2 linked regions of the Danio rerio genome follow. The protein of the gene in region 1 purifies or fractionates together with the protein of each later gene. This does not show direct contact. Links are inferred from orthologs where the notes say so. Each region holds a gene or a part of one and is shown on either strand. Other genes may lie near its edges.

The links.
Region 2: the proteins of lamtor3 (region 1) and slc38a9 purify together in Homo sapiens (affinity purification with mass spectrometry; 3 studies listed by BioGRID and IntAct, with this or other methods). This does not show direct contact. The link is inferred for Danio rerio from reciprocal best matches to the Homo sapiens genes LAMTOR3 and SLC38A9.

The regions. Positions count from the first base shown.
Region 1 is NC_133188.1:12,895,368-12,912,992, reverse strand, and holds lamtor3 (ragulator complex protein LAMTOR3), read left to right. Parts: upstream 1-7,084; 5' UTR 7,085-7,157; intron 7,158-8,108; exon of another isoform or gene 8,109-8,110; 5' UTR 8,111-8,147; coding exon 8,148-8,156; intron 8,157-8,235; coding exon 8,236-8,270; intron 8,271-8,364; coding exon 8,365-8,423; intron 8,424-10,510; coding exon 10,511-10,644; intron 10,645-10,727; coding exon 10,728-10,791; exon of another isoform or gene 10,792-11,805; intron 11,806-12,953; exon of another isoform or gene 12,954-13,181; intron 13,182-13,573; coding exon 13,574-13,647; 3' UTR 13,648-13,882; downstream 13,883-17,625. Other genes in the region: si:dkey-20i10.7 (uncharacterized protein), read left to right, coding at 3,292-4,502; dapp1 (dual adapter for phosphotyrosine and 3-phosphotyrosine and 3-phosphoinositide), read right to left, coding at 16,072-16,095. UniProt on the Homo sapiens protein: As part of the Ragulator complex it is involved in amino acid sensing and activation of mTORC1, a signaling complex promoting cell growth in response to growth factors, energy levels, and amino acids.
Region 2 is NC_133185.1:7,428,324-7,445,390, forward strand, and holds part of slc38a9 (neutral amino acid transporter 9), read left to right. Parts: intron 1-19; coding exon 20-190; intron 191-315; coding exon 316-372; intron 373-4,929; coding exon 4,930-5,127; intron 5,128-7,796; coding exon 7,797-7,904; intron 7,905-13,464; coding exon 13,465-13,571; intron 13,572-16,213; coding exon 16,214-16,327; intron 16,328-17,067.

The sequences.
Region 1 (17,625 bases):
GGATGCCATAACTGAGGGGGCATTTTAATCCCATAGGGGGGCACTAGACCTTTTGGTCCCTCTTGTTCCTTTCGTTTAGGCTTTTTATTCACATTTATTGTTACTTTGCATTACTGCCTGAGTTACGGACTTTAAGCAATTAAATAATAATATACTTTTTATAGTAATAATAATATGCACAGTTTCGCTATTACAGATTTTGTTATTGAACGTTATGCAACAATACTGTACCGCAGATCATGGCTTCAGGGCCAAACGAGTGCTTTAAATCATATTTTATTCTCCTTATTTCTTTCAGTTTTATTTCAAATAATAGGCCTATAAATGTTTAAAGTTTTAGGTAAAGATGCCCACACATGCAAGCTAACCCACGGTCAGACTATTCGTATAACCGGCATATAGTGAAGTAACCGAGTCATCAGGTTTCATTACGCAAATAAAATCAGTGTTAGGAAAAAACTGAATGTTACAGTCTTTAAAAATGATTTAGTTACATTTTACGCGTTAGTGTAGCCAGAAAAATACATAAAAGAAATAACGAAATTCACAGTTATTACCGTGAAAATTGGTAATTTTTTTGGGGATAACACGCAACACAATATGCTATATAATTTTTTCATAATTTTAAAGGTAAAAAAAATAAAAGATTTATCTTAGGCTATAACTGAGGTTTTTTTTCCGTGATATTGTCCGGTTGGCATTTGTAAAAACGACATCATAAACCACTAGGTTACTAGGCCTATACCTGTCATTATATTTATTTATTAAACCTATTTTAATAACTTGTTTTCAGGTTATTTTCATTTTGTAGGGCCATGAGCTTCAAGTCAAAACAAACTCGATATGCTAACTGTATTTTAGCTCTTAATACAGGTCTACAATATGTTTTATGGTGCTATTGTGCATGAGCAAATAGAAATAACCTAAATTACATATTTTTAAAAGATTATCATTTAGCCTACCTGCAGCACATGTGAGAGATGGATCCGCGGCAAATCCACTTACGCACTTATTCCATTTATAACACTGTAAACTTGACTTCGCAGGCCGATCATTTAAATGCAAAAGGCATTTGCATTGAACTTGACTGCTGCTGCATAATGGGATGTTTCTTTACAAAACTGTAAAAGTGTGCTTTAGCATGTCAAAATGAAAGCAAACATTCAAAAGGGTACTGCGTTTTGTCAATTTTATAATAATAATGAATGAATATAATAAATTTAAATTATAATTATAGTCTAGACTACTGTGGGATTGTGCAGTGAATTTTTTTTAAATTTTAATATCCTACATAACTGAAAAACTATTTTGATGAGCTGGCAGTTGCGTTTTTGCTCAAATTAATTTAACGGCAAATTTCTTCTGCGTTTTTTTTCCCTTTGGAGCATAAGAGAGTTGTATTTAAAGAATTAGTTTACCAAAACATGTAATGAATTAGGCTGCTATGGCCTCATGTCATTAGTCCAGTTTTTTCTGTGTGAGTTAAGTGCGCCTCCCCGTGCGCGTTTTAAAGGCTATATACGGGTGCACCTGGCCTGACGCGGGGAACAGATTTCTGGACTACATGTCTAGATTTAATCTCACCATTTTTATAATTTATTTGCTATTTCATATTATACAATATCTAAATGTGTGTTCTAAAGATTGGAATGACGGGAGTGTTAGTAATTAATGACTAAGGGTGCTTTCACACCTACACTTTTGTTTCAGAACCTGTCTCGTTAGCCCAGTTAGCGCGGTTCGTTTGGCATATGTGAACAGGGCAATCGCGTTCTGTTCCGCGCCAAAGTAATCGCTCCGAGATCGCTTCGAGATTGCAGTAAGAAAGCGATCCGATCCGAGCGCGATTATATCACTGTGTTTTATGGATATGTAATAGGCATACGGCTATATGAAGAGAGAATTATGAGTAGGGCAGGAAGTTTCGCAAGTCTCCGCAGGGCTCAACATTAAGGACTGCCCGATGGCCCGGGGCCAGCTTGTAAGATGCTCGGGACAGTAGACAGGATCGTTACTTGCCCGATCGGGCCACTGATGCCCTGTCACTAAAGTTTAACTTGCCTGTGACTATTTGTCAATTGCGTGCAAATACAGTCAGAATCGAGAAATGTTTTTAAGCCTTCAAATGCTACCTTCTCAGTACCTCTTATCTGATTGGATGTTGTGAGCACGTTATTTTTTTCCATAACAACCAGTTTAGCGAAGAGACAGCAACATGGTGGCAACATCAAGAGATGATGGTAAAAGAAAACATTTGTTTCTAACATCTTGCAAACATTTACACCTCGACTAAAAAAATTAAGAGATGTTTTGTACAGTTTGGCGTCAGTTTGGCAGGTCAGTCATCTTTTGTTTTGCAATAAAATACCTGCACATTTTGCTACTTTTGTTTGCAAAACACTTTGAATTTTGCTCATTATACATGCATTAACATTTTTTAAAATATATTAAATCTATATTTACAAACATTGACACTTTTTTTTTTATTTGTGGCTAAGAAATAGCTAGTATTTTTATTTTTTTTGGGTGGGGCCAGTGAAAATATTGGCAGGGCAAGTAAAAATCTGAACCACTGGTCCGATCAGACCTGTAAAAAAAAATCCTTTGCTTTGAACCCTGCTCCGGATGCCCGCAAACGAGTGATAATCTCCCGGTAATCGCGCGTCTCCCTCCCGGTCCTCAAATAGGCATCGTCGCGCACCCTTCTCACCCCTCCCCACCACATCTCTCCTCAGACATGTCGCGTGCACCTTGTCAATCACCACCAAACCACCACCTCTCCTGACAGCTGAGCGGGACGCTGCAAAACAAATCCTGACACTATGACCAATGTGAGGAGAGTTTACTCGCTCATGACTTGTTTTAGCTCTTTTGGTCCGATTAGAAACTTTGCAATGTGAAAGCGAACCGCTCCAAGAGCAAAGAGCAACAATGTAACAATTGTAATCCCTGTTTCGGAACAACTGAATCGATTCACAGATGTGAAAGCACCCTAAAAGAATTTTCAGTCTTGACAATAATCCTTTATGAAAACTGGGGGGCACACATTCTTTCTGAGGGGGCAATGCCCCCCGTAGCGCCGGGCCTGCTTAAATTAAACCTTTTTGACTTAATAAAGATACATTTTTCCTGGGTTATTTACAAAATGAAGACATTTTATGTTTTTTTACATTTGATTATATAATTTCTGTACCTGAATAATGTTAGACTCCTAAGAAAACTTATCAATTGCTATGTAAATGGAGATTTTTCATAACTATCTTAGTAAATGTATTTGTTCTTTTATTTTAGGCAAACCGCCTTGTAAAATAGTAAAGTTTGATCCATCATTGCATCTTGGGGCCACAGAAAACAAAACTGAATGTGTGCAGTTTAACCCATGTAAAGAGGGTGAAGAAGCTATCATTGGTGATGGCGCTCCACCTCCAACAATACTTGTAGCTGGCCAGGACAAAGCTGAAATAGCAGATGAAAGTCAGACGAGAGACGAAGGGTCAAATGATGACAATGCCGGACAGCAGGAGTGCCATTTTTGCAGCTCTATGCGTGATGAAATTGACCACCTGTTAAAGGAAAACCGAAAACTGAGGAAAGAGCTTGCTAAAAAAAACATGGGAGAGGATTCGTTTAAAGAGGACAATGCGAAGGTCAAGTACTACACTGGGCTACCGTGTTTTGTGATTCTGATGGGTGTGCTGACACAGCTTCTTCCCCACCTGCCACAGACTGGCCACAAACTCTCACCTTTTCAGATGCTCCTTTTAACACTGATGCGCCTCAAACTCAATCTGCCAGTTCAGCACATCGCATACCTCTTTTGTGTGGATCAAGATACGGTGTCCAACACGTTCAAAGATACTCTTGGCACTATGTTCCAACAACTTAAATCTCTCGTTCACTGGCCAGAAAGACATTACCTGCAAGCCACCATGCCACATCAGTTTGTTGAGGCTTTTGGCAGTTGTGTGCCAGTTATTGTGGACAGCTTTGAAATTTGCACACAGAAAGGATCAAGTTTCAAATCTAGCGCTCACACATTTTCCCACTGCAAACACCATCAAACAATGAAATATCTCTTTGGCATTACGCCACGAGGATCCATATCTTTCATTTCTAAAGGGTGGGAAGGTTGTGTCAGCGACAAGCATGTGACAGAGAATAGTGGCCTTCTTGATCAGCTTTTACCTGGTGACTTGGTGCTCGCAGATCATGGATTTGAAATCGGAGACAGTGGTGGACTCATGTGTGCCGAATTGAAAATCACCGGAGGACGCAGACTTCTGGACGCTAAAGATGCAGTGGAAAAACAACAAATAGCTCACCTTGGGGTGCATGTAGATAGAGTGACTGGATGTGTGCGCACAAAGTACATCATGCTGAATGGGATTGTTCCTGTCAGCATGGCAGTCCCATGTGAAGGGGAGGACATGACATTCCTGGACAAGATTGTGACTGTATGCTGCGCCTTGACTAACATGTGCCCCAGCGTTATGAAAACATAAACTAGGAAATTACCAGTCCGTCAAATCAGTTTCTCGCAAGGAATGCCATCCAACATACAAGTTTGTGTAAATATGTTTGTGCATTCATTCTGTATGTATATAGACATTCATTTATGTATATATTGGATGTTTAAATAATAAAAAGTGCCTGTATATATGTATTTTTTTTCAGTGTTTCCAATAAGAAACATCTTTACTGTCTTTTCTACCTAACAGATGATAGATAGCTAGAGCCATTTACAGTGAGTTAAGTTAAAGTTAAATCATCATCTGCTGTAGTTAAATGGTAAAAAAGGTAGCACATTAAACCAAAACATTAACACAGATAAAAAAGAAGACATATTAGGTGCTGTATAACCCACTCCACTCATCTACAAACATAAAAACCACAAAATACTTTAGTTATCATGAACAGCAGCCTATGTAACCACCACTAGATAGCGCTGTTTGCGTGCACTGCTTGGGTAAAGTCTAGAGATGTCCAAACTAGCCCCATGGTAAGCTTTGATTTGGCCCATCTCTCTCTCTCTCTCTCTCTCTCTCTCTCTCTCTCTCTCTCTCTCTCTCTCTCTCTCTCTCTCTCTCTCTCTCTCTCTCTCTCTCTCTCTCTTTTAAATGATACTGCATTAGTTTATATAAAGCAATGCATTTTTCGTTTATGTAAATGAATTAGGAAATTACCCATAGCAACCTTAAAATTACAGTTTGTAATATTTACTTCTAGACCGCAGCATTCAATCAAGTTTGGTTTTTGGCCCTCATCATAGGAAAAAGTTTGGGCACCCCTCTTCTAGAAGATAAAGTCTAGATTAGATACATCACTGTAGCATAATTTTTGTGTAATGCTGTATGACAATAACATTTTTATAGTACTGTGACGGTTGGATTTAGGGTTGGGTAGACTTTAAAAAATACAATTTATTTGTTAATTTAATAAATAGCAAACAACATTCTGTACACCTGTTTTTTTTTTCATTATTGTGACTGGTTTGATTTAGAGTTGGGGTGGGGGTAGACATCAATAAAATACAACTAAGGGGGAATTTAAAAATATTTAATATAATTCTTGTTAACTTCGGGCCGCAAATGTATCTGATCAAGCAACAACCAGTCTAAAGGTGTACAGCTAGAATTGGTTAGTAAATGTTATTTTCTATTGGTCTAAGTTTATTTAAAATATTGATTAGAGGAGCGTTACCTAATAAATATCCAGGCCTGTAGCCAGCCTATTGTAAATAAGAGTGGTTCTTTTTTTCTGAAAAAGTGGACCTTTTTGCAGTTATTGTCGTCATTTAAGAACTAATCTTTGCTCCATAAGCTTGTTGGATGGTGATCATAACCACACTATTTTTGATGCACCAAAAATGTTTTCAATTTATATACAATTTAAATATTGTTATGTGATTATCATTAAAAAGTGAATATGAAAAAAACTTATTATCAAATTTATTATCCATCATTAAAAATAAAAATCTGGTAAAACTGGTTTAAAAAAATGGCATATAGGCAAATAACAAACTGGCTAGCTCATTCAACTTCCCTGTCAAAATTTGGCTACTTGAATAATTAAACATTTAATTTGTCTTAAAGCCTTTTCTATTGATCCTTTTCACAATTTATAATGGCATAGCAGTCAAAAATTTGATAATTTTTTCTATGGAGGACGAAACCTGCAAAAACAGTAATTAAATAAATACCCAAATAAATAAATAAATGAGTAAATAAATCCATAAATCCCTGCATAAATAAAATAATAAATAAATAAATGTGTGTAAAAATCCACAAATTTCTGCATAAACAAGTCTATACATAATTAATAGTGCGGGCAGGTAAATAACTAAATAAGTTACACGAGGGGAATAAGAAAAAGTTTATTTTAATTAACGTTTGAAAGAGAGGAAAAATAAACTTTTAATTTAGCATTTTCTTATTCCCCTCGTGTAATTTTTTTAGTTATTTACCTGCCCACACTATTAATTATTTAAATATTTATTTTAGCAGGAATTTGTGGATTGTTTATATACATTTATTTCTTTATTTGCATATTTATTTATTTAATGTTTTATTTAAGCGAGAATTTATGGATTCATTTACTCATTTATTTATAATTTGCGTATTTATTCATTTATTTATTTATTGTTTTTGCAGGTTTCGTCCTCCATACTTTTCTCAATGGTAGGCTACTTAAAGAACTAGATATTTATTTAAATACCATTAGGAGAGTACAAACAAAAAAGCTGTTATATCTGTTGACACATTTAAATTAGCAAGGCCTAGCATTATTTGTAATAGTTTGTCTATTTTATTATGTTTTACCTACTGTGTTGTTGTACTTTTATTACTCTATTATGTTTTTCATATTTGTTGCATGAATTAAAAAGCAGCTGCAGATACGCATGCGCACATCAATATATCACAGCATACGTTTTGCGACACTTCAACAATAATAATCGTTTTTACGTTACTGTGAGGGCAGACGTTAAGTAAAATAAAATTAAATAGGTAAAATTATGAAAAATACAATAATTCTCGTTAATTTGATCGTGACATTTTAACGGATATGACGTACACGGAAAAGCGTATGTATTTTGTCATGTGATGCTCGCACAGAAACGCAAGAGAAGAACTTTTATAAAGCGTTGAGTTCAGTTGATGGTAAGTCTGTTGCCTTTTGTGTATTATGACTTTAATAGATGCTTTCTGGGTTTATAACAGTTTCTGGATTAGACATGTCTGCAGTTAGTAAGTAACGTTAAACATGTTGCCAAAGATGCTGGTAAAATGCTGTTGTAATGTCGTATAATCTTCTACGAAAATTAACCATGGTTTTACTATAGTAAACGTGTAGGAATTATGGTTTATCTACGTATTGATTACCAATTTTTATACGTTAACTATAGCTTTATTACTGTTGCATGCTTAATTCGTGTTTACCTTGGATTAACTAAAGTTACCATGGTGTTTGCTTTTATTTGTAGTAAAACCATGGTTAATTTTCAATTAGGGTAAAGTTGGTTTTATTTTCACACATTTCGACATTCTCCTTAATAAAATAATTTCTGAAACGTATTCTTTGCAAATACTAAGTAGTGAAATCATATTAGCAGTCAACATCAGACTACACGATTGTTTTTAGTCAAATAAATAGTGGTAATGTTATTTTGAAGTCATTCTTACACATATTTTTCAGACCCAATGTTTTAAAGTACCATGGTAAACAATATATGGGACAAAATCAAGTTATCACTGAACGAATATGCAAATATAAAACCAAGTTTACCTCAATTTCCTATGTTGTTTACCATGGTACTTTGAATATTCAATCTGAAATCACGTGCAAGTATGACCAAAGACTATAGAACACATATAATACAGTATGCCTTAAAGGGACTTTGGTAGACTTGAAAACAACATTAGCACTATTTATTTGACTGTGAACAATGTTGTACTTTGATAGTCATAGGCTGCTAATATGATTTCACTATTTAGAATTTGGAAACAACACTTTTCTGAAGTTATACCATTAAGAAGAATGTGCGAATATAAAACCAACTTTACCTCAATTATTTTCATGCCATGTCCTTTACTTTTCAACTTTTTCCCTAGAGTGTGCTGCAGGCGACGTACATAATCAGTCCAATGAATATGGCAGATGTGAGTATATTTGTAAATTAATTTTCTGGTAGTGAATTTCTCATGAGTCTAATAATGTGTTTTGACTTGATTCTTGCAGAATCTCAGAAGCTATTTGTATAAACAACTACCAAGGTAAAGACATTCTTTTTGTATTTTAGACACATTTTATTTCATTCATTGCCAGATGTAATGAATGCTGATTTCTTTATTTTTAATCTGTCATCAGTGTTGAAGGACTTCATGCAATTGTGGTGACAGATAGAGATGGGGTCCCTGTAATCAAAGGTGAAAACCAGATCTCAGATTTTTACATTTTTGTGCATACTACTGGTCAAATGTATAAAAACAGTAAGATTTCCTTTACTTCATTTAATTAAAACATGAATGTAGCAACAACAAAAAAAAAGTTTATTCCTTTGAATCAAAGTTAAATTGTGAGTATCATTACTTTCTTTAGTCTTCAGTTGGGCTGCACGATATTAGAAAAATCAAGCATTGCGATAATTTTTTATTTTGCGATTTGAATACAGTTTCACCAGATTACTTGAATATCTCTATTTGGAAAGATTTTATAATATTAGATCGATTGGGATGATTCTGCAATGGGAGTGTATCTCCATAAAATACAATAATCTATAAACGTTTTGGGGCCCCTTACACATTTTTCATGTGGTCTGTGCTATTTGCAGAGCATTTCTGTATTTGCATGTGTTGTGAGTATTTTCATGCACATGTTTAATCAGCGATTGATGAATTAATGTTAACTATTTGTATCTCAATAAAATCGAATGAACAATCTATATACTTTTTGGGTCCCCCGACACATTTTCCATGTGGTTTGTGCTAGTTGCAATTCACTTCTGTATTTGCATGTGTTGTGAGTATTTTCATGCACAACAATCTATAATTGCAATCAAGAAAAAGATACAACTGAAAAAGTGTTTGATTGTTTCAGTATTTCCGTTTAAGAATTGAATTTATTGAAAGGGATAGCCCCTTGAGATGAATCATCTCATTTTCGAGGGGGTCCCTAAAAAGTTCATAAATCAAAGAGTACAACACATCATAACGTACATACACTTAACAAGACAAACTAACAATCAAACAAGCAGCACACTCCGCCTGAAACACTTCCCACAATCTTAAGCCTAAATAAACAAAAACATATAATCAAAAGTACTAACAATTTGATATACAAATAAATAATAAACATTTAATTTGGAGTCAATATTAATAACATTCGCAAGTTGTTTCCAAAAAAGAAAATAAATTAGCTCGAAAAGACTAAGTGATTTAATTGATCCAAAAAAAAGAAGGGAGATCGTTCCAGTCGGAAGGAGCTTTGTATCGAAAGGACCTACGGCCACTTTCTGTAGAAATTCTGGGAACAAAAAAATAATTCTGTTGCATATGACGAAGCGAATATGATGAGGTAAATGGAACAAAAAGCTGCTTTAAATAAAGAGGGGAAACTAAAATAAACACATTTAAAAAGAAACAAATACCAATGATACTGTCTGCAGAACTTAGGTTGAAGCAAACCAAGTGTTTCGTATAATATTGAATGTTGGGCTCTATAAGGACATCTTAAAACAAATTGACACAAAGAATTGAAGCAGTATTTAAAGGTTTTAAATTAACATCAGAGGTAATGTCATAAATAATATCAGCATAATCAATAATAGGAAAAATTAATTGAGAGATCAATTTTATTCTTACTTTAAATGAAAAACAATTAATAGAACGATAAAAAGAACCTAAGCAGCGATATGAATTTTTAATTATAAAATCAATTTAGTAAAAAATTCAGTTTGGTAACTGAATAATAAATATAAAAGTAGTTCTATAAAATTAACCATTATCAAAGTTACAAATGGTACTTAAACTTCTTACGCCTGAATGTGTTTAAGGTCATTATACAATTATTATTATTATTTTTTTTTTTTTTAGCTCATTATACAATTCCATGCATCAAAAACATGCAAATAATGAATTTTAATCCAAACTCAACATTGCCTATATTTGTCATGTGACTATTGCGAATGATCAATTTGCAATGTTGATGCTGATATATTGTACAGCCCTAGTCTGCAGTGTCACATGGTTCTTCAGAAATCAATCTGTTATGATCAGTTATTATTGCTAATCAATCATTATTAATAAGTCATCTTATCAATATTATCAGTTTCCCCACTTCATTGTTTTGTGGAAGCTATGTTAAATGTCACTTTTAGAATTCTTTGATGAAAGGAAAGCTCAAGCATCTACTTAAAATAAAGTCTACTTTTTATGTTCTATATATGTATGTTAAAATAATATGTGTAGTATATCTATGTAGTAAAGCTCTGAAATGTTGCTTGTGTCCACTCTAGTGGCTAATGACAATGCTCCTGAATATGCGCTGCGGCCGGCCTTCTTGTCCACCTTTGCTTTGGCAACCGACCAGGGCAGCAAGCTGGGCTTGTCCAAAAATAAGAGCATCATTTGTTACTACAACACATATCAGGTGCTTTCTTTGACATAAGACACATTTGATCTGCTAGTTACTCAGAATTTCTTATATTAACGTATGCTGTTTATCATTGGCAGATTGTACAGTTCAACCGATTACCCTTAGTGATAAGTTTCATCGCAAGTAGTAACGCTAACACGGGTGAGTATTTCTCTGTCACAATGAGCCATTTTTACTTTAGAGATCAAAATTAAAGAAGTTGTCACTGCTTAGCCGTATTTGATTTACCCGCTAGTGTGGTGTAAATTAAAGAGGGGGTTTGACCCTCCTAATTAATGCTTAAACTTCCTAAAGGATATCAAAACTAGATGTGTGTGGGGTCTGGGAAGTAGTTTTCACGTATCTGTATCTGGAATAATAATAATAATAATAAGTTAATATTAATATTAACTTATCCTATATGTTAATAATAACTTCTAATCAGAAAAAAACAAATCTAGCCCACAGTAAATCTTCAAAATATGCTGTTTCTTGTAAATTCTATCTATATTCTGTCTACATGTAGCCTAATAGATAAGTCAAATTAAACTAGATGGAAGTTGCACAGTAAACTGTATGTGCAATCTTTTATTATCATATATTTATTGGAGCTGGAATAAAGTTATCCCGGTTCAGCAAAATACCTGTTTTATACCAAAAACATGTTGTTAATAGTTGTTTGTTGAAATAGCCCATCACAGGTTTACTGTATGCAAAAGTCTATTTATTACTCATTAAAAACACAGAAAGTAATTTTTATTAATAAACGAGATGTCATTGAAATATATGAATTTGGTTCACTGAGGCATGCATGTGTAGGCTATTATCAAAACAGAAAAAAAGCAGACCCCCGGTAATCAGATAATTTAAACACTGGTGTAGATCATTAAAACCAATTAACTAACAATAATGTATTAAAACATAAAATGTTTATGAATCTGCCATTTCTGACCTGCACTGTTTGATGGATGTTCTGTGTACATTACAGTAACCAGGGTTCTTACGGATGCTGGAAGTCATTGGAAATGCTTCAATTTTAATTAAGTGTTGTGGATTTGGGATAAATGTATTTAATTAAGTGTAATTATGTTGCTTTCATAATAAGGTGTTACTAAATAGGTAACAATGATTTAATCTTTAAATAAAATAAAGAAATATTTTTGCTTTAGCACATGGGTCTCAAACTCAATTCCTGGAGGGCCGCAGCTCTGCACAGTTTTACTCCAATCTTAATCAAACACAGCTGATCTAGTAGAGTCTAGGGCTGCTTCTTAATATGCGTTCTTGTCTGTATTTGCGGTCTTGTGTCCTCGTGAAACGTCATCAACCCTTGCCAAGGATGCATCGAGAGGTGACTTATGCGAACTTGCGAAGCTCAAGTATTCCAGAATGGAAGAGAGAAAACCCAGGAGGAGAAAACCCACACAGTTTTAAAAGTACTCCTTTAATGTGTCACAAAATAAAGTTTTAACAGTTTTTCAGGCGAGTGTAGTTGTTTTACACTCGAATCAGCAGTTTATTCACAAAGATAGCGCATCTTTGACGATGTGCCTCAGCTTATGCAGACTTCGACTCCCAGCCTGCCAGCAGGAGCTCCGCCATCACCTCCCCCGCCAAGAGCAGCCTTACTTTGGCCAGTCCATCTGGGATGTACCGCTGGATCTCATCAATCCATTGTAGTTAAAACATGATATTTAATACATCTTGTGTATATCTAGTGGACAGTATTTGGTCTTTAAAATCTATTATTTGTTATCAGGTGTATTATTTTGGCAGTATTATTTTGTTACCTTTTATAATGGTCTTTAATTATGTTACCGTGTTGTACGCTGTTTGTCTTTGTTTACCAAATTGTTCGACCATAATCCTTATTTCTTGTTGTGTATGTCTTTATTTCTTATGTATAGACTTGTATAATTACCATTGTAGTTTATCAAATCTAATAATCAAATACACGTGTCTAATAACTCCTTTTACTTCACAGTTATATGAATTTATGTTTACATTTTCTTAAATCAAAAATGTAGATTTGTAATATTAATATATTAATTATAGGGTCGTGCTTTATATAATTGAATAATTGTTTTTGCTAATGCACAGTGAAATCGATGACTCCACGGTGAGGCAAGTGTCGTGATAAAGTACACTGCCGTTCCATTTGAAGAAGTGCCCGACTTGTGGCCTCAGGAGTTCGTTCTTCTAGTCTGAACTTAGCAAGTCTGAACTTTGTGTACTTGATAATGAGAAACAGCCAGTCTTAAACATCTTGATTAGTTGGATCAGCTGTGTTTGATTAGGGTTTGAGCAAAGCTGCGGCCCTCCAGGAATTGGGTTTGAGACCTATGCTTGAGCATTAAATGAAATCTCTGGAGTCCATGCCTGCAATCCGTCTGCCTAAGATGTGAATAAAGTACATGTAAGGGTCCCGTGAAGTGCTTTGAAATGTGCATTTTTATTTGATGTTTGACATGATCTCAACTGAAAAATGAAGAGAGTGGGACATAAAGTAGTTTCTCCCCTTTTAAAAGAAAAAACTGCCAATAGTGATTCGTTTAAAAAAAAAAAAACTATTGTTAGCTTTGCCAGTGAGAGGGATTGAGCTCAAATGCATTAAATGAGAAGCATCTTGAAGTAGGAGGGGCATGTCAGATACTAGAGAGCATTTGATTGGTCAAGATTTGATGACAAACTGACTATGAGGTGGTGGCATGGAAAAAAACAAACCTTTTAGGAATTGCAAACTGCAAAGCTTTGGATGTTTCTATCAGATTTATATCTTCTAAACGCGTTTCCTTAAAACTAACAGACTGAAACTAATATCTAATAAAGTTTATTTTCATTTCACCAGACCTTTAAAAGACTGAATGACAGTTATTCAATGTTGGGCTTGGAACTATTAATATCAGTTGAATGATATGTTTTCCTCTTTGTTTTTCTTCTGTAGGATTGATCTTCAGTCTGGAGAAGGAGCTGGTTCCTCTGATTGAAGAACTTAGGCAGGTGGTGGAAGTGGCTTAGCAGCTGTTCATCTCAGACCACCTGAATGATAAGAGAGCCACTTTCCAATCTGAGGTCCTGGTGCTCGAGTTCATGCAAACACATCTGTACATATGTATTGTTGGCTGGCTGTTGTTGTGGATGCTCCTGATGCTGTATGTATTTTATGAATGTAACCTGCTCATTTTTGTGTCATCCTAATTAATAAATTTGTCTTAAGTGTTCGTTTACAAAAAATAAAGTGTATTTAATGACATTGTGCACTTTTTTCTTTGCTCCCAAACAACACGAAAAAAAAAATAAAAATTTTTGGAGAATTTAACTGGGGTGACAGTGGCTCTGTGGTTAGCACTGTCGCCTCACAGCAAGAAGGTCACTGGTTTGAGCGCCAGCTGGGTCAGTTGCCATTTCTGTGTGGAGTTTGCATGTTCTCCCCTGTTGGTGTGGGTTTCCTCCGGGTGCTTCCCCTACAGTCCAAAGACATGCACTATAGGTGAATTGTGAATGTGTAAGGATGTTTTCCCGTACTGGGTTGCAGCTGGAACCACATCTGCTGTGTAAAACATGCTGGATAAGTTGGCGTTTCATTCCGCTGCGGCAACCTCTGATGAATAAAGGGACTAAGCCAAAGGAAAATGAATGAAAGAGAATTTATAATTTTTACTTTGGTGATGTCCAGCATTCTACTGGGACGACATTTTTGTAGATCATGCTTCAAAATTTAGCACTTCTGTTGACCCAGAATCAGATGTGTTTATGGTTAAACACCTGAAACTGTGCTTAAAACGGAAAAGCTTTATATTACGACATAAGTAATAATAACACATATGACATATTTATTATAAATAGGACTGGCAACAAGTAGGACATCATACGCCATCATACTGAACAGGAAAAGTACTCCAATTTCCACTTTGTTGTATTTACTCACGTAATCACACACAAAGAATTTAAAATGTGCTTTAAATAAAGACTGACAGGAAACAGTCATTGTGACATCATATTATATTAGTATATGATTTAAACTTGACTTCTGGTGATTGCCTATAGGCTACAAAATTAATTACAGATATGATTCAGATTATCTTAATGAACAAACTATATAAGAATCATAAACAGTTTTTGAGAGTATGTATATACCAGAATCAGAGAGTGAAACCTTTTTAAGACACTTTCCATACATTTTAAGACCTTATAAACACTTTTCAACCGGAAACACTGGCGAGATTTTAACTGTATATTTACTAAATATTAATGTATAAAACTACTCCAAAATTAAAACATTATTCATATACTGAATAAAAATCTATTAAATCTAGCTAATTCATAATATGCAATGCAGAATAATAGTGTTGCCTTGGTTACTGCAGTAAATAAAGCAGCATGATGTCAAATCTAGTAGGATTACATTGATTTTATAAACCAAACAGCATACTGATGTTCGCAGATTTAATTAAGGCAAACAACAATACATGACGTAATCAAAAATGATATAAAATTTAATACCTTGCAAAATACTTTTTAAGGGGCTTAAATTTCTCTACATTGATTTAACAACTTTTAATACTTTTTAAGACACCACAGCCCCCCCTTTTATTGGCTGCAGAGCTTATTTTCTGCAAAAATGCCAGTCGGAATATTTTAAAGGCAGAGCCAGACAGAATCTGCCAAGAATTTCTGCGCACAAGTTTAGCAAAAATCTGCAGAATGATTTTGGGAGCATAGTAACTAAAAACCTAAACCATCAAATACAAAACCAATCACTTTTTAGCTTTTATTTAATGTTTACAATGCAAATACAATTAGATCCGCTTGTTTGGTAAACGCAAGTCCTAACAGTATAATATAGCTGCTAAAAGACAGAAAATCGTACTTTACAAACTCTATTATAGACAAAACATTTAAACATTTGCATATTTTTCAATCATACTGCTGAAATGAATATAAAAACTGAATAAATATATATTTACACCCATTTACACTAGTAAATAAAGACTTGATGGGATCTGCAGATATTTCTGCGCAGATTCTATATGGATTTACTTACAGATGTTGTTTCAGTGAAACCAAGAGTGATGGACACTTCCAGTATGGCTTAAAAATGCATCATCATTATAAGGTCTTATTCTGAAAGCATTGTTACTTCCGATGTACTGTATATATTAAGGGTTTATGTAGATATGTTTGGTAGCAGACACTTATTAAAGGAACATTTATCTTCATGCTGCAAATATATCTTGGGTTGGAGAAGAAGAAAAAAATTCAGTATCCATAAACACAAACAAAAACCTACTGTCAGTTAGAATGCCAACACAGCTTCCAGACTCTTTATAACTGCTCCATTGGAGATCACAGGGCATCAGATGCAGTTGTTGTATCTTGTGTAATCACAAACACAACTGAACATGACTCTTATTTTGCTCCAGTTTTTCTTCTTGGTGAACATCATCTACCTTTCTTTACCTGTGACTGGAAATACAAGAAGATGGAGGAACAGACAAGAAAGAGAGATGTTTATAATTAATACTATAAACCTGCTTGCTTGGTTTAAATCATAGGTCTCAAACTAGATTCCTGGAGGGCCGCAGCTCTGCACAGTTTTGCTCCAACACTAATCAAACACAGTTGATCCAACTAATCTTCTTTGTTTAATGGCAGTCAGCAACCAACGTTAAGGTGCATTACCGAGTCTGAGTCAACTACCTCCCAAATAACACACACAAACAACTCTCATCTTTTAAATTCTGTTAATTAGCCCAGTTCTTCTTAGATGATTTAATAAACTTTCATTGTTATGTCCCCAAAGTATACAGTTGAAACCAAACGTTTACAAACACTGTATAAAAAGGCACATGACCAGTTAAAAAAAGTCTGATGTTAATGTGACTAAACTTGTTCTCTTTTAGGTAAGTTAGGATTGTCACATTTGTTTCTTTTATGCTTAATAGTAGAATAGTGAGAGATATTTTTGAGAAATTGTTATAACCTTTCTTGAAAATCAAGTTTACATACAACAAGAATATTATGCCTCTGAAAAAGCTCAGATGGTGGTTTCAAGTTTTTGGAAGTTTCTGATTGGCTAATTGACAACATTTGAGTTAATTGGAGGCACAACTGTAGAATAGTATTTAAGGAAAACCTCAAGCACACTGCTTCCTTGTGTGACAACATGAGAAAATCAACAAGCCAGAATCAACAAAAAAGCCAGATTAAAATTTGCTAAATTACACTGGGAAAAAGAACAATTTCTAGAGAGATATGTACTGTGGTCTGATGGAACTAAGATTGAACTGTTTGGCCATAATGACCAGTGTTACATTTGGGGAACAAAGGAAAAGCTTACAAGCCTAGGAACACCATTCCAACTGTGAAGTATGGAATGCTGCATCATGTTGTGGAGCTGTTTTTCTGCAGGAGGTACTGGTTCACTTCACAGCATAGATGGCATCATGAAGAAGAACATTATGTAGAAATGCTGAAGCAACATCTCAAGACAACAGCCAGGAAATTAAAACTTGGCCACAAATGGGTCTTCCAAACAGACCATGACCCTAAGCATACTGCCAAATTAGTTAAAATGTGCCTTAAGGTCAACAGAGTAAATGTTTTGGAGTGGCCATCACAAAGCCCTGACCTCAATCCTCTAGACAATATGTGGACAGTGTTGAAAAAGCTTGTGCGAGCCAGACAGCCAACAAATCTGACTCAGTTACACCAAATCTGTCAGGAGGAGTGGGCCAAAATTCCTTCAAACTATTGTGAGAAGCTTGTTGAAGGATACCCAAAACATTTGACCAAAGTTTTACAGTTTAAAAGCGAAGCTAAAAAAAACCAAGGAATGTATTGAAACTTTTGACAGATCTTAGCTAAACAGATCTTTTACTCCCGGTTGCTTTGCTCACGTCCTGTCCTGTGAATATGATTATATGCGTTGACAGAGACGCAACTGTCAATCAATTCTGTGGGCGGGGAAACTACACTCCTACAGCACGTTGCGGT
Region 2 (17,067 bases), on another chromosome or scaffold:
AAACTCTGTGTCTTTGCAGCTTATGTAGATACCTCAGACTGGGAGTTTCCTGATGTGTGTAAATATTACTTTGGGGGTTTCGGAAAATGGTCCAGTCTCGTCTTCTCGTTGGTGTCACTGATTGGTGCAATGGTGGTCTACTGGGTGCTCATGTCTAACTTCCTGTTCAATACGGGAAAATTCATTTTCAGTACGTGACTGTTTTTCCTGCCCTTTCTCATTTGTTTTACTGCCAATTAGAATTCTAATATTGTTTTTCTGAATAACCTTTTAATTGTTTTTCTGAATAACCTTTTATATATTTTGCATTTACAGACTATGTTCACAATGTCAACACATCAGATGCATTTGGCACAAATGGAACTGAGAGAGGTGAGCAGTCATTATTATTATTATCATTATTAGTATAAAATAGTCTGAAGTTGTAAGCATAATCATTTACATTACATGGTCAAAGATACTCAACACAATCCAAATGGCTTGATTTATTAATTGCTCTGACTTGAGGCTGATTTATACTTCTGCATCAAGAGCACGTGTATGCTACGGCGTTAATGCATAGCCCTACGCCGTGGCCGTTGGCGTCGCTGACGTGCACCTTTCAAAAAGTGTAATTACACATCGCAACGAGGCGTAGTGTAAGCTCTGTGATTGGTCGGCTTGGTAGCGCTGATGAGTCTGGGCGGGACCGAGAGTCGCGCGAATGGCGCGACCCTGATGGAGAAATTGTTTACAAGTGTGGAGTTCCGTGAAGGAGCTCCGGATGGAAAGTTTTGTTTTGTGTTTATATCATAGTTAAAGTTGTTGCACGTCCGCCGCTTCCTGCCTCAAAATGAGCGAGTTTGAGCCACTTGTGCATCCAGGAAGTGTTCAAGAAAAGCAAAACATCAGAGAAGAAACTCGACACAGAGGAACATTTACACCTCACTGCCAACTAGTGTTTCGGAAGTGTTAATGTAGACCAACAGAGACAGCGCGCAGAAGTATAAACGCTCAGCTACGCGCGTTGTATGCGCCGTGGGTCACGCCGGTCACTTGACGCAGAAGTATAAACCAGGCTTTATGCTGTAAAACGAAAAGACAGAAACAAATATTAATAGTATACAGTGTATCTCAATTAAAGAAAAATATGACAGAATATTTCATAAATTATACAAATTATAGCCAAAAGAACCATTGGTGAAATCATGGGAGTTGCCATCTTTATTAAGTCCATTTGAAGTCCTGCAGAAGTCGTGTTCATGGATATGCTGAAGTATTGAAAACTTACTGTATCTTTCAGACTGTCATGGTAGTATAAAGTAGATGATAAATTAAATTGAAACAAGAGTGCTGAAGGAATTGGAGCTAACAGATGAGCGTGACGCAGAACGAAAGCAGTGAAGCTTTTATTATGACACTATTTACTGTTTTCAGTTCTTCTGTTCATGATCACGTGGACAAGAAGCTGCACTGTTTTATTATACTAAATACATTTTAGGGTTCTGTTATAAAGCTGCTGTGCACGGTCAAATAAAAAACAAAACTTATTAAAGCAATTTGGTGATTTCCTGTTATCTATGAAAGAACTGAAAATTAGAGTGGCACCAATTAAACTCTTTAGGGTTAAATAATCAAAATGCAAAAAAATGCTTTTCTTTGCATCGTCTCGTTTCTAGTCTAAATAGCTCAAATTCTTGAATCAAGTAAAAATATTAGTTTGTTTTCACTTTCAGAAGAAATAAGTCAAAATTAAGAGTTTTTATTCCCTTAAAATAAGCTAAATGAGATCATTTAGCTTATTTTAAGGAATGGGGCAAGTAAAATATTTTGTTCTCATTTTGAAATGTAAATATTTGGACTGGGAACAAGACTAAAATATGAATTTTTTTCTTAATAAATTTGATAAATTCTGTTTAAATAATAAAATGCTATTAATCTTAGTTTTATCACATTATAGTTTTTTGTGCTCAAATGTTTTATACTCTGTTGAAATGCTCAGTCACAGGCCTTAAAAACACATGCACATACGATTAAACATAGCAGGGACTCAACGAAATTCTGAGGGTAAGTATAGATACCGTCAACGCCTGTAATGTAATTTACAATAAAATGTCAGACTTTCAGACATCTTTGCTTAGGGAAAAAATAAAGTATTATTTTTCTTAACACCAAAATGTAATTTTTTGTTTAAATGCCCCTGTGGCTTTGCACATACAACATAGGTAAAACAAAGCATTGTCTAAAAACTTGTATTGCAGAACACCCAAATAACACTGCTCAATTGCCAAAGAAATCCCATTGCTGCTTCCTTCAATGCTGTTAAACATAATATATTGACTCCGCATTATATTGGTATTGAGTGTGTTAAAGCACAAGACTAGAACTAGAAGAGGTGTTGATATTGATACTTCGATTTCAAAGGGAAGCGTTTTACATTTATACTTTACTGTCATCAAAAGGTTTAAATTAGAAATTAGATTTGAAATTTTTATATTTATTATATATTTATATATTATGTTTTATTTAGCATTTTATTGGTTGATTAATTGATTAGGTTAATTAATGGTTTCAGGTGTGATGTTGGTGAAATGATGAAACTGGAGTAGCGTAGCATCCATTAGATGCATACTTCAGAATCTAACCGGAAGTAGTAGGTCATCCGGGTACTTCTCACAAACAGTTTTTTTGAAAACTATATATTTCGACATACTACTCAGCTTGCATATTCTTTTAATGTGCATAGTTTTTAATGTATTTTAATATGGAAGTATGCGATTTCAGACACACTCAGGGCTATTCAATTGGTTTTTCATGGGCGCCGGTTCATGAAAAGCATCCCAAACGAAGGGCCGGAGAGATATGACTTGCTATATGAGTGATAACACAACAGCATATAAGAGCCCATATGCTGTATTTTTCCTTAAGACACCCATATTGTATTTTTCTACATTGAAACGTTAATATGTTGTATGTTGTATTTTGAAACTACATAATATCAGTGCATTGTACAATAGACTTTTTTTTTTCCTTTTTTTTTTTTTTTTTTTTACAAACATTCTAATGTTGTATTTCAGAGCACAACTAAATCAGCGCATCATAGGCTTCTTCTACATTCAGACACATTCATATTTTATTTTTTTGAACTGCATAACAATTAGGGATGCAACAATTATAGATTTGGTTGTACAATTATATATTCTGAAGAATAATTATGGTTTCATGGTTATCACGTATAATGTAAATTCAAGTTTTATATTGGGTAAGTAGCTATTTAGATTAACTGTTGTTGCCATCTGCGTTCATGCATATCATTTTAATAATAATTCGTCAAATATATCTTTTGTTTACATTGCACTGAAAGGCACGCACAACTCTCACCATGAGATGTTTTCTACTGCGTGCACCCGGAAAGATGCAAGCGCATTGCTCTGCTTGATCACGCATACATTATTTTAGAAATAACACACTTCCAAGCAGAAAAGACGTGATATGGGAACGGCCACTGCTATAGTTAATCCGGTGTGCGTGTGTATTAGCCTCATTGTTATTGGAACTTCAAACTAGCGCACCAGTTGGCAACTTGGCATAACTTTTGTTTAATTGCAGCAGTTTTTTACCCTGCAACAGAAAAGTGGCTTAGGCCATACTCACACTACGTACAGTTGCCTCGAACCGGGCCAAAGCATGCTTGTCCCGCTACTGCGCTGTTCAGTGAGAAGCGCTCTCAGTCAGCAGCACAGTGGAGATTTCTCTAGTTAAATAATTTCAGTGGTTTGTTATGCAGTGACATGCAGTCAAATATTTCGCCAAACAGTCCTTAGGGATGCGGTCACATGCAGTCAGATATTTCGCCGAATAGATCCGCCACTTTTGGCACTCATAATCATAATGCTCTCGTGCTGCAGGAGGAGGTCTGCTGAAGGCGCGCAGCTGTCGTGCAGTGAGGAGTTTGCGTCTTTAATAATCTACGGCAGTTTGTGTTCACTGAACAGTAAGAATGTTTCATAAATCCATATGAAACAGCCTCTTAAAAGTCACGTCTCGCTTTCAGTTTCGGGCTTTGGCCCAAGTGAACCGCGCTCAGGCCCACCTCTTCCAACCGGGCCAGGGCCGGCCAAGTGAACCATGCCTGAGCCCGATTCAGCGCACTCACACTTCTCAAACGATCTGGGAAACTGGCCTGGGCACAGTACAGATGGCATAGTGCGAGTAGGCCCTTAGAGAAGACTTTACGATTAATTAACTGTGACGAATTAAAGCGCAGTTAATAATAAAATCGGCTAATTGTTGGATCCCTATGTTTTCAACTGGAGCTTGTGCTGTATTGAACAGACGCACGTCACTTCATAACTGTAGCGGCTGTATTTCGACTGAAATAAATTTATTTTTGATGTCTTGGACACACTGTTTGGAGGGCCGGAACAAATTGGGGCCTGGTTCGCCCCGCGGGCCGCCAATTGAATAGTCCTAAGCCCTTTAACCTCTCTGATGTCTTGTTTGACCAAATGAAGACCAGCTTGGTTAAAACCAAGTAAAAAGCTTTTATTTTTACAGTAACAGTGACTTTGATCTTTTTACAATGTGTCTTTGTTGACCACTACTAGTGGTTGGATCACTAAAAATGCATATTAAATTGATAAATAACCCAAAACTGGAAATCTTTTCCATCAATTACCCACCCTTCACTTGTCACAAATTTATTTGAGTTTCTGTCTTCTGTTGAACACAAACTGTTATTTTAAAAAGTGTTTGAAACCTGTACCCATTGGCCGCCATAGTATTTTACTCATAGTAATATATGAGTAAACTCATAAAGGTCACTGGAAGTTAGTGAGTAAATTTAGATTTTTCAGTAAATTATCCAACACAATGTGGAAACAGGGCCTTAAATGTGCTTATTTGAATACAATTAACATGTACACGTGTTTCTGTGTTCTCCGGCACTAGTCATATGTCCGTATCCAGATGTGGATCCACATGGGAACAGCAGCACCTCCCTGTACTCTGGAAGTGATAACAGCACAGGTCTTGAGTTTGATCATTGGTGGAGTAAAACCAACACCATCCCGTTTTACCTCATCCTCCTGCTGCTGCCGCTGCTCAATTTCCGCTCCGCTTCCTTCTTCGCCAGGTTCACTTTCTTGGGTATGACCTTCATTTTCCCCCTAGAGTACTGATATTTCTTTTTGAATTGAAATCAAAAAGGTACATATTTTTAGTAAAGCAAGATGACAAAATTTTTTATTAGAAAATGCATTTCAAATGATTGCTTCATAGGAAGTTTGCATGAACTGTATAAAAAGGCAAATAACCATTTTTTTTTTTAAGTCAGATGTTAATGTGACTAAACTTTTTCTCTTTTAGGTAAGTTAGGATTATCACATTTGTTTCTGTTATCCGTAATAGCAGAATAATAAGAGCGAGATTTTTTTTGAGAAATTGTTTTAACTTATTTTGAAAGTCAAGTTTACATACAATAAGATTACTCTGCCTCTGAAAAAGCTCAGATGATGATGTTAAAGTTTTGGAAGTTTCCGATTGGCTAATTGACAACTTATGAGTTAATTAAACCTCAAACACACTGCTTCCCGTGACAACATGAGAAAATCAACAAGCCAGAATACAATTCGCTAAATTACACTGGAAAAAGAATAATTTTTGGACACATGTCCTGTGGTCTGATGGAACTAAGATTGAACTGTTTGGCCATAATGACCAGTGTTACATTTGGAGGACAAAGGGGAAAGCTTAGAGGCCTGGGAACACCATCCCAACTGTAGACTATGGGATGGCAGCATCATGTTGTGGGGCTGTTTAGCTGCAGGAGGGACTGATCCACTTCACAGCATAGATGGCATCATGAAGAAAGAACATTATGTAGAAATACTGAAGCAACATCTCAAGACATCAGCAAAGAAATTAAAACTTGGCCACAAATGGGTCTTCCAAGCAGACCATGACCCTAAGCATACTGCCAAATTAGTTAAAATGTGCTTTAAGGGCAACGGAGTGAATGTTTAGGAGTGGCCATCACAAAGCCCTGAACTCCGTTACACCAATTCTGTCAGGAGGAATGGGCCAAAATTCCTTCAAACTATTGTGAGAAGCTTTTGGAAGGATACCAAAAACATTTGACCAAAGTTATACAGTCTAAAAGCAAAGATAAAAAAAAAATAAAAATAAAAAATACCAAGGAAATGAATGTAAACTTTTGACTTTCTAGAAATTAATACAAAAATTCTCAAAAAAAAAAAAAAATCTCTAATTATTCTGGCATTTAGCAAATGTAAATCATTTAGGTAATCCTAAAATAGTAAATGTTTAGTATCATTCACCATCAGACATTATTAAAAAAATTGTTATGTTCCTTTTTTTTTTTTTTTAGAGTGTATGTAAACTTCTGGCTTCAACTGTAGATGCATGAGTGTCAAATCGTGGTCATTCAACCTTTTGATTCTTTAAGGGTAATATGAAAAAAGGATTTGGGGTCTATTTTTAGTGATGAGGAGTGGCTATCTGCCTGCTCAAATATCTATCCCAAAAGTACTTCAATTTCGGTTCAGAAACAAAATTATAAATGTAGTCACATGATTTATCTAACTCCAGTTCGCCTCCATAGAATATTTCCCAACTGTTCTGTTATGTTTCAAAGGTAAGGTAGACATAGTCTCAGTAGCCCCTTTCACACAGTGATACCGGTAAATTTCTGGAAAATTTCCGGAACGACTTTACTGGTATATTCAAAAAAGCACTGTTCACACAGGCGAGGACGTTACAGAAATTTTCCGGAAAAGAGCATTCACACATCCATTCCAAAATACCGGTAAATTCTGACATCATTCACCACAAATGAGCTTTAAACGGCTGCGCTTGTATTTGTAAACATTTGACTAAATTACAAACTCTGTGGATGATCAATATTGTGAACAACTTTCGCAGGATCACTTTCGCATGTCGAGATGTTCATAATATGTGCGTGTGCAGGCGCTCACAGGCTGTTCCACAGGCACACGCAAAGCTTGAAGGTAAACAAACAGCGACTTATCATAAGCATCTCATCGATGATTATTTACACAGTTGGCATTAAGAAGAACATATAAACGTGATCTGACTAACTTCTAGCAGCTAAATGTGTCTGGAAAAATATTCAAAGGCTTTTATTCTCATAAACCGTGCGGACGTAAATGCGTCTGACTGTTGTGATTGGCTAAAGCAGACGTCTCACGTCAGCACGTTCTAGACGTGCACGCGCTTATTATGGCAATCTTCCTTCTGCATTCACACAGCGCAGCATTCCGGCAAATTGCCGGTAATGTTACAACTTCTCTTTCCGGAAAATAGCCAGAACGAATTTACCGGTATTTTCAAAAAAGGCCCGTTCACACACAACATTTCCGGAAAATTGCCGGCAATTTTCCGGAAAGGTCTGTATGTGTGAAAGGGGCTAGTGACTCATGTATTTTGGGATTGTGACAATCAAGTTTACTGGAAGGAGATTCACAAAATGATTAAAAAAAACTATTGGAAAGACTTTTGCTTTGTACCCAAAGGTATACCTTCTGAATTGTACAGTGGAACTGTGTCTTGATAGTGTTCTTGTGTGTTTGGTCTTCCCTTTGGAATTTTCTTGAGAGTACTCAATGACTGTGCCTTTCTAAATTTGGTTTTATAATTTCCATTTATTTCTATCTTTGCTCTCAAGCATTTATATGCATTTGAATGTCGAACAAATGTTTTTGTTAAAACAGTCCTGCCAATTGGGTTTGACTTGCCAGCGGTTTTAATGAACTTTTTTTTTTGTTTGTTCTTCACAGGCACAATATCAGTGATCTATCTCATTTTTCTGGTCACATATAAAGCCATTCAATTGGGCTTTCACCTGGAGTTTCACTGGTTTGATTCATCAATGTTTTTTGTTCCAGGTAAACTTATTTACCAAAGCATGCATCTTCTTGAGTGTAAAATTATGCACATTTTAATGCTGTATGTTTTTATATAAAAAAGTAAAGTTTAATAAATTATTATTATTATTTTTAAATCATGTCAAATGACAATGCAGTTAATTCTACAGAGTGTAAAGTTTTATACCATTTACACCTGCTATTGAGAGTCATTTTTCAGAATATCTGACTTCAGCATTGTTTTTCACATAAACAAGAATGTTCACTTAGAATTGTTTCTTAAATATAAAAAAAATTATGCTTTAGAAGAGTCAAAAACTTACATACAGCAGCTTTTAAACCGAGGCGAAAAAAGCCTCCTACTCAATGTTCCATTTCAGCTGAAAGTACATCAACATGCTGAAATAAGTCTGAGCAACTTCAGGCTCACATGGAGTTTAAGCTGTGTACCATGGATTTGTTCATTCAGTGCTTCCACAAAAGTGATGTGGACGAAATAAGAGGATCTCTTTGAAATCAGTGACTCCCAATGAAAAACAAGTGGTCACATGAGACGTGTTTTAATGCTTGGAAATACCAGCTGAAAACAAGACCAAAGGTTTCAACTCTCACCTCTTTTGCAGCATGTAATTTCTGGACAATTTGTTCACATTAACCCTCTGAGGTCTGAGGGTGTTTTAGGGGCCTGGAGAAGTCCTGACATTTTTATATATATATTTATTTTTTTTATATAGACATTTATTTTATATATATTTTTGAATTGCTTATAGGGCTGGGCGATAATTCGATAACGATAATTATCACAATATATATTTTTTTAATAGAACGATTATGACAGTTCAAAAATGTTCGATAATGTTTATGCACTATGCGTAATAATGCTCAGGCATTTTGCAGCTTGCCTATCCAGATGCTGGACGCTGTTCAAGTTTACAGCCATACAGTGTTAGTTGCACTTGGAGGGGTAAGAAAAAAATAAGGTAAAAAGGTCACCGTCACAGACCTGTCAGTGACCAGTAACATCACTAAACTTCGGTAGCCTGAAGCTACTTAATTTTGTGTAATCTGACACAAAACAGAGCAACATGCACTGCAAACTGCGCAGACGACTTGTGTCATCATAGCAGGCAACCCCACAAACCTCTTCCATCAGTTAAAACAGCATCACCCTTATGAAGATGCTGATAAAATTACAGACCCAAACAAGTGTTGGTAGACCAGCGCAACTACCCAGCAGAGTCTCATGTCATCATTTTTGAAAGCCGTGCCTAATGGGAAAACCCCCTCAAAAGACAGACGAAAGATATGACAGACAACACGATCTCAATGAACACTTGATGCTTGCTGTAAACTACAGGCTGCAATATTTAAGGGCATTTGTTACGACAATGATAGGATCTTTTGTTGTCAAGCTTATGTTTCCTTTTTAATATTAAGATATTTTTCTTTGAAATGTATAAACAAAAGAAGTTGGCGTTTCTGTGTGGAGTTTGCATGTTCTCCCTGCGTTCGCGTGGGTTTCCTCCGGGTGCTCCGGTTTCCCCCACAGTCCAAAGACATGCGGTACAGGTGAATTGGGTAGGCTAAATTGTCCGTAGTGTATGACTGTGTGTGTGGATGTTTCCCAGAGATGGGTTGCGGCTGGAAGGGCATCCGCTGCGTAAAAACTTGCTGGATAAGTTGGCGGTTCATTCAACTGTGGCGACCCTGGGTTAAAAAAGGGACAAAGCCGACAAGAAAATGAATGAATGAATGTAACTTCTGATGCATTTCTGTTGGTCAGCTATCTACAACATAAACAAGAAGGACGAATAACATCTGAGGTGAAGCGCTTTAAAACAAGTCTGCCATAGTTTATGCTTGAGCGCCAAAACAATCCATTAATCTGTTTTCACGGTTTTGATTAAATTCATTAACGAAGAGCGGTTTGAGCAGCATGAGCTGGACAGTCTTTACAAACTATTCGCAGCACTGATAGTATTCTTAGGTTACCGCAGAAGAATAAACTCGGTCTGAAGGATGAGAGAACTCAGAAACTCGTTGAGTGAAAGGTGAGTCTCAATGCATTTCTCGCTGTGATGCGCGATTCATAAAATGAGAGTCTGCTAAGGTCTGTGAGATAAAATTGGTTAACACCCATGGATACAATGGAGATCTGCTTATAACAGGGTTTTTTTTATGCGTCCCGCAATATGTGATGTCAAGAGTGTGACTCCATAAGTAAGGTGAACTGCACACACTTGATTATGTAAAGCAAGGACGCGGCTCACATCGCAAAGCATAGCTAAACCTTTAAATATCCATGCTAAATCAGTCATCGATAAGGTCTATCGATTAAAGGGTTATTGACAATTATTAGATCAAGTAATCATTAACATTCCTAAATAAAACATATTAAAAGATATTTTACCCTAAATTAACCATACTCCCCATTAAAAGGAGAGATCATCCCAAACTGAAAATTCTGTCACTATTAACTCACCGTTTACTTCTTCCAAACCTGTTTTATTTTATTTTCTCTGATTTATTTCTGTCTTGGTTGTTGAAACCTTCAATAGTAAATGCTGAAATAAGATTCTTCTTTTGTTTATTATTTTATTATTTATATTGTCAGACAGCTAAAACATTTCACTAAATGTCTTAAATCAGCTGCAAAAGGCGATAGGCATGCTGAAAATTTGATAAAATTGATAGATATAAATATTTGTCATTTATCATAATAATTATTGATATCAACTGATATGAAAAAATTATATAAATTAAAAATATATAATTTTTTTTTGCTACATCGCAGTCCTAATTGAAAAAAAAGAGCACATGTCACTCCGCTACTCATCCGTTTGCACTGGCTGCCAGTTGCTGCTCGCATCAAATTCAAAGCTCTGATGTTTGCTTACAAAGCGACTTCTGGCTTCGCTCCTTAACTGCTCTCACTTCTTCAGATTTATGTGCCCTCAAGAAACTTGCATTCTGTGAATGAACGTCGCCTCGTGGTCCCATCCCAAAGAGGGAAGAAATCACTTTCCCGAACTCGCGCATTCAATCAAACAAATAAGTACCTTAAGTCTAATACTGCGGTAAAGTACGGAACCCCGGAAGGGACGTAGTGGAGGAGAAAAAAATTGGCTGGGTGAAAAAATAAATAAATGGGTGGGAGGAAAATGTATATTTCTAAGTTTTTGCGTTCCCTCGCAAAGATGTTTTGCGTTCCGTCGCAAAATTTTGCATTATCTAGCAAAGATGTTTTGCGTTCCCTCGCAAAGATGTTTTGCGTTCTCTCACAAAACTGTTTCTCCACAAACGCTTCCTGTTTACTTCACTCATGTAAACCCTCCCGTTTTTGCCATAATTCTCAGATATTTTACCATTCTACCCCACTTTCTTTACGTTAAATCTGTGTGTCGATCGCCGCCTTTCACTTTGCAACCTCTGAACCAGCGAATGCATGTATAAGCGCTGACTGATAGATGCGCTCTGTACAATAAACTCACTTGTTAACAGAAGTGTCCCTTTAAATGGCGCGTACAGACGCTGATCTGGGATCAGTTTATTGTATGGAGCGCGTTTGTCAGTCAGCGCTTATACATGCATTCACTGGTTCAGAGGTAGCATATGAAAGGCGACGATCGACGCACAGTAATGTAAAGAAAGTGGGGTAGAATGGTAAAATACAGGAGAATTTCGGCAAAAACGGGAGGGTTAGCGTGAGAAGTGAACAGGAAGTGTTTGTGGTGAAACAGTTTTGAGGGAACACAAAACATATTTGCGAGAGAACGCAAAACTTTGCGAGGGAACGCAAAACTTTGCGAGAGAACGCAACAACTTAGAAATGTATATTTTCCTCCCACCCATTTTTTCTTTCACCCATTATTTTTTTTCCACCCTGCCAATTTTTTTTTTCTCCTCCACTACGTCCCTTCCGGGGTTCCGTAGGAAAGAGCTCAAACTGGGCTACAATAAAATGTTGGCAACTTATGGGTGGTTAGTAAAAAAAAAAAAGTCACTGAGATAACTTAATAAATAAACAAAGAATATTTGTTCACAAGAGTTTCATGAGCTGGATCTTGTAGCCACAAGTGTTTTTGCTTTAGATTAATCTTGCTTACTTGCTTACAGAAAACTATTGGCTTAAATTTTCTAAGACCCTGAAAGATGCTCTATGGCTGTATGTGAGGAGGTGTAAACTATTAGTGCTATTGCAGAGATTCACATTTTTTTTTTTTTTTTTTTTTTTGTAATTCAGTTTTTTTATTTCCGAAAGTGAGAATATACAGTTTTTACAATCAGATAACAAAATACTTTTAACAGATATAACCCCATATATATTCCCCACCCCCCCACCCCATTATACGCACATCAGGAAACACAGAATAACTATAGTTTAGACCAAGCTGTTAGATAGTTTCCATTAAGTTGTCATCCGTAGCATCAGATGAGGGTTAAGTGTCCAAGATTTCTTTGACGTTGCATATGTAGATTTTCCATGCCGTAAGAATGTCCACTTTGGCATTGTTGAGCCGTGCTGATGACAGTTCCAGATACAGTATTTCCAATAATGAATGTAACCAGTGCTTAACTAAGAGATCATGAGGAGGTTTCCACCTTTGTACCAACATTTTCTTTGTAGCAGTTGAAGCAGCCAACCAAAATTTACGGACCTTTGCATTTAAGGGAAATTGAGAGTTATCATTCAATAGTAACAGTATAGGGTCTTTTGGGAAACAAATTTTTGTAACTTTAAATAAAATGTCCAGCACTGAATCCCAAAGTTTTTGTACCTCCGGACATTCCCACATCATATGTAAAAAGGTATCTGGACGCTGTGGTTCACAGAACTTACAATATGGATCTGGAGATAAACCTATGATATGTCGTATACGTGTGGTTAAATATGCCCTGTGGATAGTTTTAAAATGAATAAACTGGTGATTAGGGTTTGTGGAAGCGTGGAATGTATTATGCCATACAGTTTCCCAATCGATAGTTGTATTGGGTCGAGACATATCAGATAGCCATAGTCTTTCTTTTGAGAAACTATGTGCATTAATATTAGAAAGACAGCAGTAGAGATAGGAAACAGTTCCTTTTCTTGGAGCATTATATATCCATTTCACAATCGGGTGGGTATGAAGATCCTTACCCCATGGTGTCTTATGAGCCTTTAGTGCTGCCCTTATTTTAAAATATATAAAAAGAGTGTTGGGAGATATATTAAATTTGTTAACCAGCTCTTGAAAATCTAAAATTGATTTTTCTCCATTTATGTCTTTTAGTGTTAGAATACCTTTATTGGCCCATGATGGTTGATTAAAAGGTTGTTTACCAGAAAGTAAGTTCACATTGTGCCACAGAGGAGAATGATTATGCCAGGTGGTTCTGGAAGGAAAATAAGTTTCTACCTTTTTAAAAATTTGGAGGGTATAGGATAAAATAGGTCTGCAGAGATTCACATCTGACAATGAATAAAGGGCTGATAACAGTTGTAGCTGCCCTGATGCGAGTCAAGTGAAAGTGTGAATAAGCACATGCTATTGTTTGACATCTAATGCGTGGTCATCTTTGTGTCTCTGTCTTGCTTTAGAGTTCCGAACACTGTTTCCTCAGCTGAGTGGAGTTCTCACGTTGGCATTTTTTATTCATAACTGCATCATCACCCTCATGAAGAACAACAAACATCAAGAGAACAACGTGAGTGTTGCCATCAGTGCGTTATTCTCTTATTCTTCTTCTTAGCTATGTCTTTAGTTCACTATTCCAAAAATTATAGACTGGGTGCATAAAAAAACAACTAAGACTTCTTCTATAGAGATGCTGAAACAGCTCGAGTTGCTAAAAGGAAACATCTTTTATAAAGGAAAAAATGGAGATGAGTCATTGTGGTCAAGTTGTCAGGAAGAACAGAAAAAGCCTGCTGTCAGCAAAACTATGGCTGTTTTTCTTATGTCCTCCCCCTCTCTTATGTGTAGTTTATCACTGAGCTAACATTTTCACTAAATCTTTTAAGAATTCCCTGGTCCTGTTTCTCCCAGAAGTTTATTTACAGCAGGTTATTTTATTATTTATTTCATTTGCATTGTGTTGCTGTTAGTGTTGGGGGTGACGCATTACAATCACTCGAGTTACATAATATCACTTATTAAGTAACGAGTAAAGTAATGCATTACTTTTTAAAATGAAGTACTATTATCTGAGTTATTTTTTTATAAAATGTAATGCGAGTTACTTTTTAGTTTAGTTAATTCACCTTTCAGGAACAGACACAAAAGGAGGATGGCAGAGCCTTCCGTTTCTGCGACGGAAATATTCCCTTTATTTTAAACACATGGAAGAAAAAGAAAAGAGGATTATCTGAAAGGACAGTGATTTCACTTTTAATGAGACAAAAAGTACAGAAGTAGCAAACACATTGCTTTAAACTCATTAATCTGTATATACCGTAGGACTGGGCTGATAAGCGATGTTATATGGAATCGCGATATAATATCATGTCTATAACAATGGCTAAAATAGAGTAAAAAGTCCAGAGCTTATCAATGACCGCAGAAATGTGCAACAGTGGAATTCTAAAAGGGTGTTAATATTAGAGATGTACTGAATTTTCAGCCACCCAAAATTTATCGGCCAAAAATATGTTATGCCATTTAATGCCCTCTAGTTTTTTGTGGCTTCAGTCATTGTAGGGATGCTCTTTTTAAATCTGGAAGCATTGACATGTGATATTGAAATATAAATATACAGTTGAAGTCAGAATTAATAGCCCCCCTTTGAATATTTTTTTTCTTTTTTAAATATTTCCCAAAAGACCTGCCTAGTTAACCTAATAAACCTAGTTAAGCCTTAAAATGTAACTTTAAGCTGTATAGAAGTGTCTTGAAAAATATCTAGTCAAATATTATTTACTGTCATCATGGCAAAGATAAAATAAATCAGTTATTAGAAATATAGTTTTAATACCTCATTTCTTATAACTGATTTATTTTATCTTTGCCATGATGACAGTAAATAATATTTGACGATGTTTTTCAAGACACTTCTATACAGCTTAAAGCAGGGGTGTTTACATTCGGTCCTGGAGGGCCGGTGTCCTGGAGAGTTTAGCTCCAACCCTAATCAAACACACCTGAACAAGCTAATCAGGCTCTTACTAGGTATACTAGAAACTTCCAGGCAGGTGTGTTTAAGCAAGTTGGAGCTAAAGTCAGCAGGACACATGGCCCTCCAGGACCGACTTTGGACACCCCTGGCTTAAAGTGACATTTAAAGGGTTAACTACGTTAATTAGGTTAACTAAGCAGGTTAGGGTAATTAGGCAAGTTATTGTATAACGATGGTTTGTTTTGTAGACTATCGAAAAAAAATTATAGCTTAAAGGGGCTAATAATTTTGTCCTTAAAATGGTGTTTAAAAAATTAATAACTGCTTTTATTCTAGCTAAAATAAAACAAACAAGACTTTCTCCACAAGAAAAAATATGATCAGACATACTGTGAAAATTCCCTTGCTCTATTAAACATCCTTTGGGAAATATTTAAAAAAGAAAAGAAAACTCCAAGTGAGGCTAATAATTCTGACTTTAAATGTATATATTATGGTGGGCATAGATATTTTTTTAAAATCTAGATTAATTTCACTGTAATCTTGGAATTAATTTAATTTAAAATGGCTCATTTGAATTCTGCCGAAGGCATTTAGAATATGTGTGCTACCCAAATAAATACTGAATAGAAGTCTTTGAGAACAGGTTTCTGCCAGGTGGTGGATAAAAGCAGGGGCTTATCTCATTCATTTTCTTTTTGGCTTAGTCCCTTTATTAATCTGGGGTCGCCACAGCGGAATGAACCGCCAACTTATCCAGCGTGTGTTTTAAGCAGCGGATGTCCTTCCAGCCGCAACCCAACCATGGGAAACATCCATACACACTCATTCACAGACATACACTATGGTCAATTTTAGCATACCCAATTCACCTGTACCGCATGTCTTTGGACTTGTGAGGGAAACCGGAGCAACCGGAGGAAACCCATGCGAACTCGGGGAGAACATGCAAACTCCACATAAAAATGCCAACTGACCCAGCAGAGGGTCAAACCAGCGACTTTTTTGCTATGAGGCGATTGTGCTACCCACTGCGCCACCGTGATGCCCTATTCATTTGTTGTTTGTTATTAATAAAATGCTTTTGCCAGGATAAAGCCGTTGTTGCTGACACAGCATTAAATAACAATATGTGATATGATGATGATAGCTTGTACAGTTATTGTTTTGAAATGAGATGTGTTACTTTTTTTTTCTTGTATGGCATTAAATGTGAACTGATGCTTTACTCACAGGTCCGGGATCTGTCACTGGCGTACCTGCTGGTGGGATTGACGTATCTCTATGTAGGAGTGCTGATCTTTGCTGCTTTCCCATCACCACCGTTGTCTAAAGAATGCATTGAACCAGTAAGACCGAGCACCTCCTGATATCACGCTTGTCCTGATATCATCTTTCATGTAGTAATTTAGCTGTTTGTGAGTGGAAAACCTCTGCAAAGTTTCAATATGCTTCACATGAAAAGATGATTGTCTCCTAAAAGACGGAACTGATTCTAGTCATCTGTAACTCAAATCGTTGTTTTTTATGAAACCAAATAGGATAAGAGCTCATGCTTAAATTGAGACAGTATAATCAAAGGCATTGTTATTGTTTGTATCACTTTGTTTACAAGTGCTGAGGAAGTTCAAGGCAGGTTTAGACTGAATTAAAAATTGGTAACACTTTAGTTTGTTACAATTCAAACCATTTACTTACGGCTTATTATGGTCCCTAATCCTACCCAATACCTAAACACAACCTCTATCTTACCACCTATTATTAAACAGCTAATTAGTAGTTTCTTGAGCTAAAAATCTTAGTTAGTGGTTAATTGTTAATGGAATTGGTTATGTAAAATGTGACCAAAAACCGGATCAAAACAAAAGACTTGAGAAGAGATTTGCAAGAAACTTGTCGGGTTGTGTTCCTAAATGTAGGATTAATGTCTAGAAATGCAACATCTGTAAGTGTGGTAACCTGTGGGGGAAAGAGTACTGAAAGTCATGCTCAAGTAAAAGTTCCATTACTTGCCCAAAATTGTAGTGCAAGTAGAGTTTAAGTATGTGTTGTAAAGATTACTCAAAGTATGAGTAAAAAGTAGCCCTTT